Rhinolophus ferrumequinum: one gene and its partner. The protein of the gene in region 2 interacts with the protein of the main gene of each other region in a biochemical or structural test. Links are inferred from orthologs where the notes say so. Each region holds a gene or a part of one and is shown on either strand. Other genes may lie near its edges.

Evidence for each region. The genes of interacting proteins can lie anywhere in the genome.
Region 1: the proteins of NHERF1 (region 2) and TBC1D10A form a complex in vitro, tested with the Homo sapiens proteins (2 studies listed by BioGRID and IntAct). The link is inferred for Rhinolophus ferrumequinum from reciprocal best matches to the Homo sapiens genes NHERF1 and TBC1D10A.

The regions. Positions count from the first base shown.
Region 1 is NC_046308.1:19,520,388-19,527,314, forward strand, and holds the start of TBC1D10A (TBC1 domain family member 10A), read right to left. Parts: upstream 4,894-6,927; 5' UTR 4,792-4,893; coding exon 4,583-4,791; intron 1-4,582.
Region 2 is NC_046304.1:49,904,256-49,911,182, forward strand, and holds the start of NHERF1 (Na(+)/H(+) exchange regulatory cofactor NHE-RF1), read left to right. Parts: upstream 1-2,646; 5' UTR 2,647-2,885; coding exon 2,886-3,347; intron 3,348-6,927. Other genes in the region: RAB37 (ras-related protein Rab-37), read left to right, coding at 1-85. UniProt on the Homo sapiens protein: Scaffold protein that connects plasma membrane proteins with members of the ezrin/moesin/radixin family and thereby helps to link them to the actin cytoskeleton and to regulate their surface expression. Necessary for recycling of internalized ADRB2.

The sequences.
Region 1 (6,927 bases), on a different chromosome or scaffold from region 2:
GGTGGCTGGACTAGAGCCAGGCCTCACGGGCCCTCTGGAGGTCCTGTTTCAATGCAGATGCTGGGAGGACAAAACATCAAGCGGGCCCCACAATCTTATCACTTTCCCACAGCTTAGGATTTCTTAATAGGCGGACATACAGGCACCTTCCCAGGGCAGCAGCTGGTGAGCTGGCCCCCTCCTTCACCAAGTCAAGTCTTGTCTGAGGCACTAGAACACCCCCAGGGCCACCAAACCGGATTTACCTTTGAAGCTGGAGGAAGAGAAGGAAGAGAGAAAATGGAGGGCCTGTGGTCTAGAGTCACAGACCAAGGCCCCACATGTGCAGCTGCCTCCTTCCAGATGGGCCACCCAGGGACCACTCCACTGCCAGCTCCATGCGCTTTTGGGAACTAATCGTTCAAGAAAAGAGGATGCTCTGAGCTTATAAACTGGAGAAGGTGGTGGGAAGGCAAGGAGGCAGGCTCTGGCCTGCCAGGAGGGCCCTGGCCCTACCCCAGTAAAAACTGGCATAGACCAAACTCTAAGGATGCCAATTAAGCCAGTTCTATGGTTTCCAAAGTCATAGGGCTGCCATAGTTGGCTAGGAGAAGTGGAGGGCCCAGGGGACAGGGAAACTGAATCAGCAGAAGACAACACTACTGTTCCAGATGCTTCTCCCGAGGCCCAACGCAGATCCCTCTCTCCCCCGACAGGAAGCCAACACCCACAGGATCCCAGAGAGCAAAGCTCCTCACCTCACATGGCCTGCCACACTGAGCAGGCTGAAGCTGGGTGGGAAGCTGCAGCTCAGGCCAGGCCTGGCAATCACATGGGAACCGGAGAGGGAGGTCAGGGACCCACCTCTCTCGGGCCAGGAGACCTGGTATCTAACTGGTATCTAACTTCTTTCCCTTCCTGACCACCTCCTCTTTGCTACAGAAGGAACACCCACCGCCCCAAACAGGTTTGCTCTTCCTACCCCCAAAGCGATAGCAATGGTAACATCTCTCCTTGTACCTTTTCCTGCTCAGGACACTGTTTTCTCCTCCTCTGGTCCTTCCTGGGCTTCAACAACCAGCTCAGTTCTCAGCTAAGCCAAAGGAACTAGCATGGCCAGCACCCTTGTCTGTGCCCATGCCACCCACAGGATCCTTTGCTGGCTGGCTGCTTTCTTGCCTTTTCCCACTTACTGGCTAATGCTCAAGATCAGGGAGTGACCATCTCAGTCCCATCAAAGGTTCCCTGCAGAGTAGGCTCAAAAGACAGACAAGGTGAAGAGGCAAAAAGGGCCTAGAGGGCTGGCAATCAGGAGTTCTGGGTTCAATTCCTGACGTTGCTCCTAATAGACTGAAGAGGTAAGGCTAATCACTTCTCTCAGGTCTCAGTTTACCTATCTGTAAGATGACGGCCACTAAGGTCACTTTCAGCTTTCTGATTTGAAATATTTGTCAGTAAATGTCATTCAGTAAATAAGTATTAATTGAGCATTTACTTTGCTGTAGGCCTGAGGAGAAAAGCTGAACAAGTCTGGCCCCTGCCCTGAAGCTGATCAGTCTAATGAACTGGTAAAGACGACACACTCTTACCCCTGCTGGGCCGTCCCTGTTAGACTCCTCCACTTCTGAGGGAGTCAAAAGTGCTGAGCTAAGCCAGGGAAGGTGAGGCTGGGCAGCTTCCTGTTAGGAAACCTTCTGTTCTACTGTCCAGCACCTGATTTTATGCTGGGACCATAGGCCGTTAATGAATGGTGAAGGCAGTGGAAACTGTCCTGACCTTGGGAGTCAGACACCCTGGGTTCAAGTCTTGCTTCTGCTACTAATATGCTGTGTGATCTTAAGCAAGTTATTCTGCTCTCTGGGCCTCGGTTTCCTCATCTGTATAATAAGTAAGGGCTAAGCTGATCAATCTCTTAAGATCTCTTCCAGCTCAGCTCAGTCTTTGATTTTACGATCTACTCATGCCAGGCACCTAACAGTCACCTGAGCGGGTAGCCTCTGTCCTGCTTTCTTCCCCATCCCCCCAGCCCCTGGCATCTGCCAAAACTGACCATCTTGAGACAATCTTTGGCCCAGCATGGCTGAAATGGACCTTTCATCTGGAGCCAGAGTCCCTGCCATCTCCACTGCAGCCATCAGTGCTAATGTTTCACTTCTCTGGGATAGCACATGGACTCCTAGACTTCGACCACGAGACTGGGTTCAGGGCAATCACCCTGAAACTTCCCATAACTTCCCCTCTCATGGTCATGGGCAGCGACTTACTTTTGGTTTTTTTGGAACCACAATATAAAGTAAGCAGGAGACAACAATGCTTTCAGAACCAGAGATTTTAGGTTGACTAACAGGGTCAAGAAAATGAGGCAGGGAGTGAGGAGGGGACCTGGGACCCCACCTCAGCCCCAGCGCTATGGACACGAGTGATGCAGAGGGTGTCCACGGCCTTTGTGGTTGGAGGGTGGGGAAGACAGATGTCTGGCAGCCTGGTTGGGGACTACAGCCAAAGGGAGGTGCTCCCACTGGGGCCTCTCTCTGTCCACAAATACCAGAGGTACGCCCTCATTTTTCTCCTCAATTTTCAGACCCTTAGAAGGAAAAGAAAGGAAACTAATGTTTTCTGGGCCACTACTTGTGCCAAGCACTGTGTGAGGCACCTTTGCATACCTGATCTTATTTAATCTCCACAGTAATCTTGGGAATAGGTGTTATTATTTCCATTTAAAGTGAATAAACAGGCTCAGAGATTCAGCATCTTGCCCAAGGTCACACAGCCAGCAAGTGTGAGTTCTTCCTACATCTAGACTTCTTCCTCTATATCACACTGCTCTGTACCCCGAGATCTAGTTAACTGCCTTATAAACATGTAGTAGGAATTCTTACCTCCTAGAATTCACCAACAAATCTGAGCTCTTCCTTCCAAGAACCCACAAATGCAACTGGGAACTCCTTTCCCACTTCTCAACACCCGATCCCTCCCAGGGTTCTGGTCCCTGGTGACTACTCCTCAATTCACAAATATACCTTAAATCCCCTTTGGGTTCTCACAAGCTAATCTCTAGGGAATCTGACAACGCGTCAAGTCAGGATGAGGGATCAGAATAAGAGGTGTTCTCTGAGTGCTGGACTGGGCTAGGCCTAGTGGTCGTGAGCAAGTGGGAAGAGGTCGGAGGACACAGATCCAGTAGGAATGAACTCTCCTTAAGGAAGGGGCCTGCATTTCTCCAGAGGAGGAGGCCTGGTGAATACGAAGCTTTGAGACTGGGGAAAATCCCGGAAGTGACCTTGATGGGGCTGCTTGTGTGGGCTGGGACTCTTACACTTCCCTAAGTCAGAAGAGGCTGGAGGAGCCCTGGGCAGTTACAACTGGTCAGAGAAGGGGAGGAAGGACCCTCTGGAGAAGGGTCATGGCTGAGTACTGTGGGGCCCCCCAGGTGACTGTGGGGGGCTATCTCTGTCGAAGTGGAGGCACATCAGGAGGGAGGCTTCAGTTCAGTGCAGAGCACTGGTCTCCTGTGACAGGACAGGGTGGGAGAGGGGTCTGGAGTCCCTCTTTCCTGAGGGGACCACTAGCCCACACTATGATCTCTGCGAGGACTGGGCTCAGGGGATCCTGTGGGGGCAGAATAAGGCTGCCCACTGTTCCCAGCGTGGAGGGAAGGTGCCATGCCACCGCTCACATTTCTCTGCCTGCTGAGTGCCTGGGTGCTCTGGGGGTAGGCGATTTCAACCCTGCTGTCTCCCCGCCGGCCCCTCCTCTCCAGTCTGAGTTTTGGGAAGAAGTCCACATTTCCAGAGCATACACAGAAACAGCAGACAGCCTGTCCTGGAGGGGAGGCACTCTCGCCTTGTGGACACTGGGAAGGGGGAGTGTCTGCCCACCTGTTGCCAGTGACAGGGAGAAATCGGCCTTTGAAGGGGGAGGGAAGCACTTCTGATCCTTCTGTGTGGCGAAGGGGCTGTGTGTCCCAGGGGGGCTGTCCATACGTTAGTTGACCAATATCAGTCCATCCAGAGGTGTGTCTTGACGTAAGGGTCAGTCTATCCTGGAGTGGGGTGGGCACAGGATAGTCTGTCCCTTTGAAGCCTGCCTAAGGTGTCCCCTGGTGTGGGGACACCACACCAGGGGTTATTTAATGGGGTTAATAAGACAAGGGCGTCTGTGGGTCTCGTGGGGGGGGGGTATAGAGAATATCTGTCTGTTGGGGGAGGGGCAGCCATCTGTGAGCCTGTCAGGAGGTGGCAAAGTCAATCAGCCCCAATGCCAGGGTGGCAGCAATGATGTTGGAACAAGTGTCTGTCCCACAGCTGGGAGGAGGGCACTGTCGGTCGGCCTTTCCTGGGGGGGCCACCACTGGATGGATGGTGAGGGCAGAAGGAAGCTGGATTTGGCCTGTCTGTGCCTCGGTCGGAAGTAGGCTCGCGGGTGAGGGGCAGGTCAGTCTGTCTGGGGGAGATGGGGGGGCAGGGGAGAGAAGGGGTCGGTTGTCTCTGGTTGGGCTGGGGGCATGTCTGTCCGTCCCGAGGGCGCTGTCCACGTCGAGCCCTCCCCCCGCGGGTCCCACGCCCGGCCCCGGCCCAGGGCCCCGAGCCTCGGTGCTACTCACGCGCCCTCCGCGCCCTGCGAGCCCACGATGAAGCCGAACTTGTCGATGCGGCGGTCGGCGAAGCCGTTGGCCTCTGAGTCGGAGCCTAGAGAGCTGACCTCGTCGGCGGTTGCGGCGTCCGGACCCGGGGCCAGGCTCTCCCGGGTCCCAGATAGGCTTCCCCCGGCCGCGGGCGCGCGAGGCCCGTTCTCTCCAGGGCTCTTCGCCATCCCGGCCGCGCCCGCCGCCTCAGCTTCAGCGGCCACCTCAGCCACCTCAGCCGCCTCAGCCGCCCAGCCACCGCCGACGCCGCCGACGCCCCGCCCACTCGCCGTGCCCATTGGCAGCCGCAAGACTGGGGGCGGGACCCTAGGCCCTCCCGGGAGCTCCCCCCTACGCCCAATGGGCGCCGCGGACCCAGGGGCCCTCCCACCTTCCTCAGAATGGCGCCAACTGGCCCGACGTGAGGGGGCGGAGCAGCCGTCACCCGGAGCCCTCCCCCCCAGGGCTGCCAATCACGAGAGCTCACCTGAAAGAGCTCTGGCCTTTCCGGGTTAGCTCGAGCTGGGCCTGTCACCTGCAACGCCAAGCAGGCAGAGGCGGACCGAGGCGTCCGCCGGAGATTCCGCATCTTCCTCCTGAGCCGCTCCTCGCGAGACCCCAAGAACATTGGTGGGGATTATTTCATCCATTCACTTATGAGGAGCTCTGAGGAGACTCCGGATGGTTCGGGGATTCGCCCAGGAACAGAGGCTTAAAGACCCAGGCTGACCTAGAAGTTCCTCAGACCTTCCCCCTCACCCTCTTACCCCCACCCCCCACTCCCGCTTACTGCTTCTGGGGCTTTAAATTAGCTCGTGGGAGACCTAATTAATAAGAATAATAACCAACGTTTATTGAGCTATTCACTGCCCCAAGTTCTACCTACTTCTTGTAATCTTTTTCTTCCCAACAGGTCTGAAATATAATCAACATACCATAAAAATCACCCGTTTAAAGTTTGTAATTCAATGGTTTTAAGCATATTTATAGAGTTGTGCACCCATCACCATAATCTAATTTGGGAACATTCTCAACACCCCAAAAAGAAATTCCTATCTATTAGCAGTCACTCACCAACATTCCTCCCCCAGTCCCTGGCAACCACTAATCTGCTTTCTGTCTCTACAGTTTGCCTTTTCTGGACATTTCATATAAAAGGAACCATATGATTGTGTGGCCTTTGTGTGTCTCGCTTATTTCAATTAGCATAGCGTTTTCAAGGTTCATTCATGTTGTAGCATATGTCAATACTTCATTTCTTTTTATGATTGAATAATATTCCATTGTACGTATAGACCACATTTTATTTGTCCATTTGCCAGGGATAGTCATTTGGGTTGTTTCCACTTTGGGTTGTTTCTATTTTGGGACTATTTCCACATAGCAGCCAATGCTGCTATGAACATTCAGGTACAAGCATTTGTGTGGACATATATTTTCATTTCTCTTGTGTAAATACCTAGGAGTGGGAATTTCTGGGTAATATGTAACTGTTAAACCTTTTGAGGAACTGGCAAACTGTTTTCCAAATTGGTCACACCATCTCTTGTAATCTTTTAGCACAACAAGGTAGATACTATTACTAGCCTGATTTTATAGTTAAGGAAAGTGAGGTACAGGGAAGTGAAGTCCGGTGCCTAGGATCTCAGAACTAGCTTATGGCAGAGCCAGGATTTGAATCTAGCTCTTACCAACAGCTTATATTGGGAGGCACAGGCCAATTGCATCCACACAGACTCAGCTCCCAGCAGCCTACTTCTGACCCCGGGATTATCAATACTTGGAGCCATATGATAGTTCCTCACTTAAGTCCAGTGCTTTAGAGTTTACAAGTCACAACCATCTTGTCAGGTGACACTCTCTTGTAGACCTGTGGGGGAGATAGGCCCAGAGAGGGGAAGGGACTGAAAGAGCCAGGCCTGAGCTGCAGGGCCTGGGACAGGTTTCTAAGGAGCCCAAAGCAAGCCCCAAGAAGTTGGTTTTAAGATTTCAGTGATTTTACCAGCCACATGGCCTAGACATTCTTGAAGACTTTGCTGTGCAGTTTTCACATTCCATTGGCTTCTGGTTTTCCATAAACAGGGCAACGACGGACATGGGAGTGGGCACAGGCTATTTTGGTCGTAAACTCTGTCTGGGAGGACGTTCCTCCTCTCTAGTGGTTCCAGACATAGTAGTGGGCTCTTAGTCCCAGCTCCCAGGAGGGGCAGAGTGAGCTTCTCAGCAAGCTGTAGGCCTATCCCAAGAAAAGAGCTCCAGGAGCCAGATACACCTGGAGCAGATACGAAGCTCCAAGCCTGGCAAAGTATCCGCATCCTTTGACT
Region 2 (6,927 bases):
GCAACAGGCTGATGAACCCAGCTTCCAGATCCGAGACTATGTGGAGTCCCAGAAGAAGCGCCCCAGCTGCTGCTCCTTCTTGTGAATCCCAAGGGGCTGAGAGAAGGTTCCAGAAGCCCACGAGGATACAGCCTGCTCCCCCAAATCGGATTGGTTCTGAGCAGCTGAGCCAATGGGGAGAGAGTTGGGGGGATCCAGGGCACAACCCCTTCCCAAGAGGGGGCTATACTCCCACCCCTACCCTAGTTCCTGTAGCTTCTCTGCATCCCCAGGGAGGGTAAAATATTTATATTTCATTTCAATGATAAATAATGTAATACAAAAAAAAAGGCACCAGAAAACCGAGATAGGGACCTGGTAGCCCTTTTGCCTTCTAGTATATACTAGGAGTCTGTGGGTGCTGGGCCTCCCTTCTAGCTGTGATGAGAGTGGCATTGCTCCAGTTGACTACCAGGGGCCCTGATGCACTTTGGGGGCGTGAGGGCAGGCAGTGTGCCCCGGCTCCCACCCTCACTTCAGCTGGAGGGAGGCTGAGCAGACCCCGGCCTTCATTTCCTCTAGCTCTCCAGGGACAATCTTCCCCATAGGATGGGCCCTTGTGCCAGGAGCTAGACCAAAGCTTATCTCTTATCAGGGAAGATAAGAAATGTGGAGATTGGGCTGGGGCCCAGCTCCCAGGGAGGGGGAGAGTGGAGTAGCGGAGATTGGGTCTGGCTGGCTACCTCTGGCATTCCAACCCCCCCCCCCAGAGGTGTACCCCTTTTCCTTCAGCCCACAATCACATTGGGGTACCTGGAAACATTCGGTTCCCATTCTCTGGCCCTCAGATCCAGGGGAGCCCCTCCTTCCTTAATCCCTTCTCTCACCTGCCTTCCTGTCTCTGCCCCTAGATACCTAAGGTCACAGCAAGGGAAAGGTTATTCCTGTCCCAACCCTTTGGCAGGTATGCAGCCCACAGGCTACTTTTTCAAAAAGCTGAGGTGCCAGATAAAGAAAAACCTCTGACTCCTGGAGCAGGTGGGAAGCAAACCTCACCCCACGTGTATCAAGTGCTGCCTCTCCCCTGACCACCAACACCCTTTTCTTCTGCGACAGACACCAGAGCCCAAACTGCTTTATCTCCCCTCCTATTGGGCCAAGTTAGGGAATGAGAAGTCATCCATTTTCTGGATAAATCAACGTGATGTGCGTGATACGTGCAAAACAAGGTCATGTGGGTAAGACTGGGGTGAGGAGAGGGGCAGCAATGAGTTTTTGTGGGGCCAAGGTCACATGGCTCCCAGAACCCTGACCCCAGACACCAGAAGGGGACAAGAGACGTGCATGTTATGACCAGAGGCACTTTCACTCCAGCTCTTCCAGGCTACGGGTGGGGGAAGGAGCAAGAAAGAGGTATGCACTGCACATTTCTGAGGCTACTGCATTTGCTTTCAAGGCAGAAATCTTGCTGTCTGAGCAGAGTCAGCAGCTCCTACTTGGGCCAGATAAGGAAGCTCTCCTAGGCCTCTCCCAGGCAGAGCAAGGAGGAGCCTGACCTTGCCCAAGGCAGGTCGCAAGGGGTCCAATCACATAGGCTGCTCTGGGCCTCTAGCATTTGTGTTCTTCAGAATTAAACTGCAGTTTGGAAAGTACACCCTGTCCACTGCTTCTTTGAGATGTGCATGGGGGAGGGGGGATCATGTTGAAAGGATTGTTAGTGCATGTTGGAGGCACTGTCACTGACTGCCAAAATCATTTGATCCTCGTCCTTCAGTGTTCCCAACTGGTCACCTCACCCTTAACAGACTGCCCCCCAGACTCTGTGACCAGCCTTTCATCTGGAAGGAGCTTAAAGGCTTATCTTAAGGTCCTAATCATTTTTTTTCTTTTTCTATTGAAGGAAGCCTGGGCCCTTTTCCCTGTAGACTGTATCCAGAGATTGGTTACCTGACTCTGTTCTGCCTCTCCCCACCCCAACTCCCTAGCCAGACGCTGACGCCAATGCCCAGGCCATTGCCCTAGGTGGCCTGTCCTCAGTGGACAGACCCTGCAAATTCTCGGGCTCTCTGCTGAGCCTTCACACTGTCCCAGTGAGGATCAGAGCACGCCCCCTCCCCCCCATAAGCAGGTCCTGAGACAGCACAAAATGACTCCACAAACGGGAAAATGTTGTTATCCAAACAACTCTGTTGGGTCCGAGGTAGACCTCAGTGTTATTCTTAAGACCGCTGGAAACCTCGTAGCCCCAGACCCGGAGCGGTTTCCCCGGCAACGTTCGCCCCTCCACCCCCGCATTGGGGCTGCACACTAGGTTTTGGCTCAAGGCTGTTGAAACTTTAGAGTCCTTTACCCACCGGTTTGCTCTCCTCAATTCCCGCCACTAGTGGGGGAAAATCAGAACCCAGCCAGCGGGCCCGTCTACCCAGAATCTGGAACTCGCCCCGCCCCCCGCCTCAACTCCGGCCACTTGGTAACAAACACTTCCACTTCCTGAGCCCTTTCTTCTCCCGCCGCGGGGCGCCGGGCCGAGCGCAGGGCACCGCCCCTGCGCGTTCCCATTGGCCGGCGTCGTTCACCCGGCCAGAGCTCCCCCTGCCCGTGGTCCCTGATTGGTCCGAGGTGGTCCACACCCTCGGCGCGGCCCCGCCTCCTAAATAAGGTCCGGGGCGGGTTCTGGGACGCTCAGACGCCGCGCGGGACGGGGATTGGTCTACGAGTTATTTTTTTGGCTCCTCGCAGTTCACTGCTGCGGCTCGCGGGACACCTGCTCGTTCTGCCGGCGCGGAGATTTGTGGCCGCGCTCCCTCCAGCCTCGCAGTCCGCAGGGCTGGGAAAAGGACTGGACCGTGCAGTCTTCGGACCCCTACCGGACCCTGCGTAGCGCCGCTGAGCCATCGTAGAGCGAGATGAGCTCTGACGCGGCGGCCGGGGCACCCCTGCCCCGGCTCTGCTGCCTGGAGAAGGGTCCGAACGGCTATGGCTTCCATCTGCACGGGGAGAAGGGCAAGGTGGGCCAGTTCATCCGGCTGGTAGAACCCGGCTCGCCGGCCGAGAGGGCGGGGCTGCTGGCGGGAGACCGGCTGGTGGAGGTGAACGGAGAGAACGTGGAGAAGGAGACGCATCAGCAAGTGGTGAGCCGCATCCGCGCGGCGCTCAATGCGGTGCGTCTGCTGGTGGTCGATCCCGAGACCGACGAGCGGCTGCAGAAGCTGGGCGTCCAGGTCCGGGAAGAGTTGCTGCGCGTCCAGGAAGGGCCCAGGCAGGCCGAGCCTCCGGCCGCCGCCGAGACACAGGAGGCTGGCGGCGAAAATGAGCCGCAGGCCGCCGCTCAGGAACCGCGTGAAGCCGAGAAGAGCCATCCCGAGCGGGTAAGTGCGGGCTGGGCCGGGCGGCGAGGCTGGAACGGCGTGGGAGGGAAGGATGGGGGAGAGACCCAAGCGCCCCGCGCCCGCCTTGTCTTTCTGAAACTCGATCCTCGAGGGGGAGACTGCTTCCGCCCGCCTACCGGGCTCACTGGCAGTTACAGGCTTGGGGCTGCGTCCCACGACCCCCACCCCCTCTCCAGACTCGCTTGGACTCTGAGCTTCTTTGCCACCTGCACCTCTTGTCCCTTGGCCTTTGGAAGTGAGGGAAGGGAGGGCGACTCAGGGAAATCCAGTCCCCGTTTCCTCGGCTCTGTTGGTGGTGTCTGCTCTCGTTTTTTCGCAATCCTCTAGTCCCACCCTCTCCGGGCCGGTTCTTCGGCTATCCTACTTCTAGCCGCCGCATAGTTGCCAGCTTCCTCCACGGTCCCTGTGGGTGGTAACAGAAGCTGGGGTAAAGTGAGTGCGGCCCCGACTTCAAAAAGCTAGAGGAATAACAACTCCCTTTCTGTGCGGAACCCTGGCGCTGGGAGGGCAGGGGTCGCAGGCAGGGTTTTACCCTCCAGCCCACGGGTGTGTGTATCCTTAACTTCATCTTCAGCCCGGCTGGACTTCATCCTCTTCCTGAAGTCCAGTGTGACTTCTAAGAAAGACAGAGGAAGCCCCACCGTCTTAGGGCGAAGTGGGGGGTGGGGTGCGGGGAGGAGGTGCAGAGGCCTCTCGGGGGTGGTGGCGGCGGCGGCGGCTCTGCCGCCCAGGAGGATTTATGATTCTCAGGAATGTGAGGAGTAAGCGCTAGCTTGTGTCGGCGGGGAGGGAGGATCTTGAAGGAGGAGAAAGGTGGCTGAGGGGGAAGGAGGAGAGGGAGTGGTCCCGGGGCACGCAGCTCTGCAGGGGCCAGCGGAGCATGCTGTGGGCAGGTGGTCTTGCCCTGGCATCGTCTGACTCACTCCAGTGCCCCGACAGCCAAGCAGGCTGGTTGCTTTTTGCCCATGTTTGGTTTTTCCCTAAACGATCCCAGTTTGGGTCAGCTGCAGGAGGAGCAGAGGCAAAACAAGTTGTGCTGAGCCTCCTGTCCCCAGAGAGTGAAGGGGGAGGTCTTGGTGCAGACTGTGGGAGCAGGGCCTATATGGCTTGCAGCAGCTCTCCACCTGGTGGCAGTGTGTGGCGCAGGTGTCTGGTGCCAGCAGGAGCCTCCCCTAGACAGAGAAAGGGTACAGTTTAGCATTAAGGTAGAAGGTGGAGCCGGAGAGGACCAACTGGTTCGGTGGAAGTGAAGGAAGTGAGGTCACTAGGAGCCCTGTCCAGCCGGAGCTCCTAGTGCCCGGAATGCCAGGGCCTCCAGGCTCCCACTTCCTGCCATTGCCAAGCCGGCATTGGCAAGGGTGGGGCAGGAGTCAAAGCATCCCTGCCAGGGGTCAGAGACTAGGGAGTTGGTCCCGGGCAGAAATACAGTTTGAACTTTGTGCTGAGGGCATTGATTTGCCATTCTTTTATTTTTTTGAACTTTGGCACTCACACAAGTAGCACACCCCCTCCCCCAGCAGTTGCATCATGTTCAGCTCCTCCCATTGCCCTTTTGGTTTTGCTGCTGGGTGCCAGAGGGCCTGGGGGGGGTGGTAGAGGACCTAGCACATGCGCCACCCCCATCTGAAAGGACAGCAACGCTTGGCTTCCTGCTGTCAGGATGAGCACAGAATCAGATTCCCATAGGTGGTGGTATGACACCTGCATTTGTGTGTGCTTTGTTAGGCCAGCAGAAGGGAGTAGAACCACTCCTACCCAGTCCCCCTGTCCCAGGGACACAGTCGCCAGGCCTCTTGGGGTTTCAGGTCAACAAGCAAATCACAGAACTTCTTTGAGACTTGGTTCTCCCATATGTAAAATGGGGACCTTGGAATACAGTGATACCTACCTTCTCTAGAATTTTATAAATAACAGAAGTACTCATGCCCCTATGGAATACTGAATTGAGTTCCTTTATGTCCAGGCATTTGAATCCCAGCTCTGTGCAGCGCGCCACCCCCCCTGCCTTTAGAGTTATGCATAGCCAGTCAGTACTGTTAAATCCCTCTTGTAGGAAATTGCCATGAAATCTGGGCATGCAGGTGACCTGCCTTGACATTGCAAAACAATGGTAATATCGTGTTATTTTTTTCCTCAAAGGCCTCTCCTACGTAAAGCACTTCATGGTTTACTGATTAGTTGTAGCCTGAATTTGTTTGCAAAGTGGGTGCTGTTAAGGCATCTTCATTAGTCCTCATAAGTGAAAAAGGTGGTATGGGGGAAAGTGCTCTGCAGATTGTGGGTGGCAGGTGACAGCTCATTGGGAGGACGATACAGGGCAGAGGGCAAGGGGTGCCTGTAGTACTGGTCTAGGAGGAAGAGGAGGTGTACTTCCAGCTCTGCCCACCTTTGTCGATGGCTTCCCCACCTCCACACCCATGGGGAGAGAGCAGTAGCAGCTCCCTGGCTCATAACCTTGCAGTCACAGGATGGGATCTAAACCCGTGAGCTTGGTGCTTGGCACATGGGCCCACAGTGGTGGCTGGGCAGGCCTAAGCCAGCTCAGCTGTATTCACTGGGCCACCTCAAGCCAAGTTCCTTAACCTCTCTAAGCCTCCATTTCCTCTTGTGTAAGTTGGGGGCCATAGCAGCTGCCTGGTGGGTTTATCGGGATTACACGAGGCTGTCTGCAAAGCTCAGTGTCTGGTACTCAGTAAGTGCCCGGTATTTGAATTAAATATTTCACAGTGATTGTTACACACCTATCCATGGGGCAAGTAGCACTGGAGCTGCCTCCCTCCTTAGGCAGGTGCAGCTGTGACCACGCCTGGCACTCAGTACATGCTCAATCAGGGCTCGCTATTGTGGAATAACCATATATTCCACGGCCCTTCACTATCTGGCAGCCGACTCTCCCCACCTCCCCCTTGTGCCTACCCCACCGCACCGAGGGTCCAAATTCTCCTCTAGCACACCGTATTCACTCAGTCTTTGTCCCTCCCTTCCTGACCTCCCTCAGCCGGAGAACCCGTCAGCCCCCCTCTCCACTGGGCACTCTCTCCAAGACCTCTCACCTCCCAAGGAGACTGTCCCCGCCGCCTCCTCCTGCTCCCTGTCCTTACATCTTTTATTGCTCTGAACACACGGTATTTGAATCATCTCTTTATTATCTCCATCACTGCATGGAGAGTTCCCCAGGGCAACCACTGTGGCTGATTTGTGTTTATATCGCCAGCACTGTGCCTGGCACAGAGCAGGGAGGGGCTCAGTAACATTTTTGAAATGAATGCATAATAGCCACCCGGGACCTTTGTCCTAAATCATCTCAGTCCAGCACACCCAGGCCTCATTACGACTCAAGCACACCCAGAGGTCGGAATTCCAGACAGAACCTACCCACTCCTTTTTCTTGCCCATGAGCGGCTTCCATTTTAAAACTAGGAGTGAGCCAGATCAACATGTGAATCCCAGCTCTGCCAACTGGCTGGCTCTGGGCCCCTAATTGTTCATTGTTCCCTGCAAGCCTCAGCTTCTACCTCTGTGAAATGGGGACACAGGCACCCATCCTGCATGGTTGGTG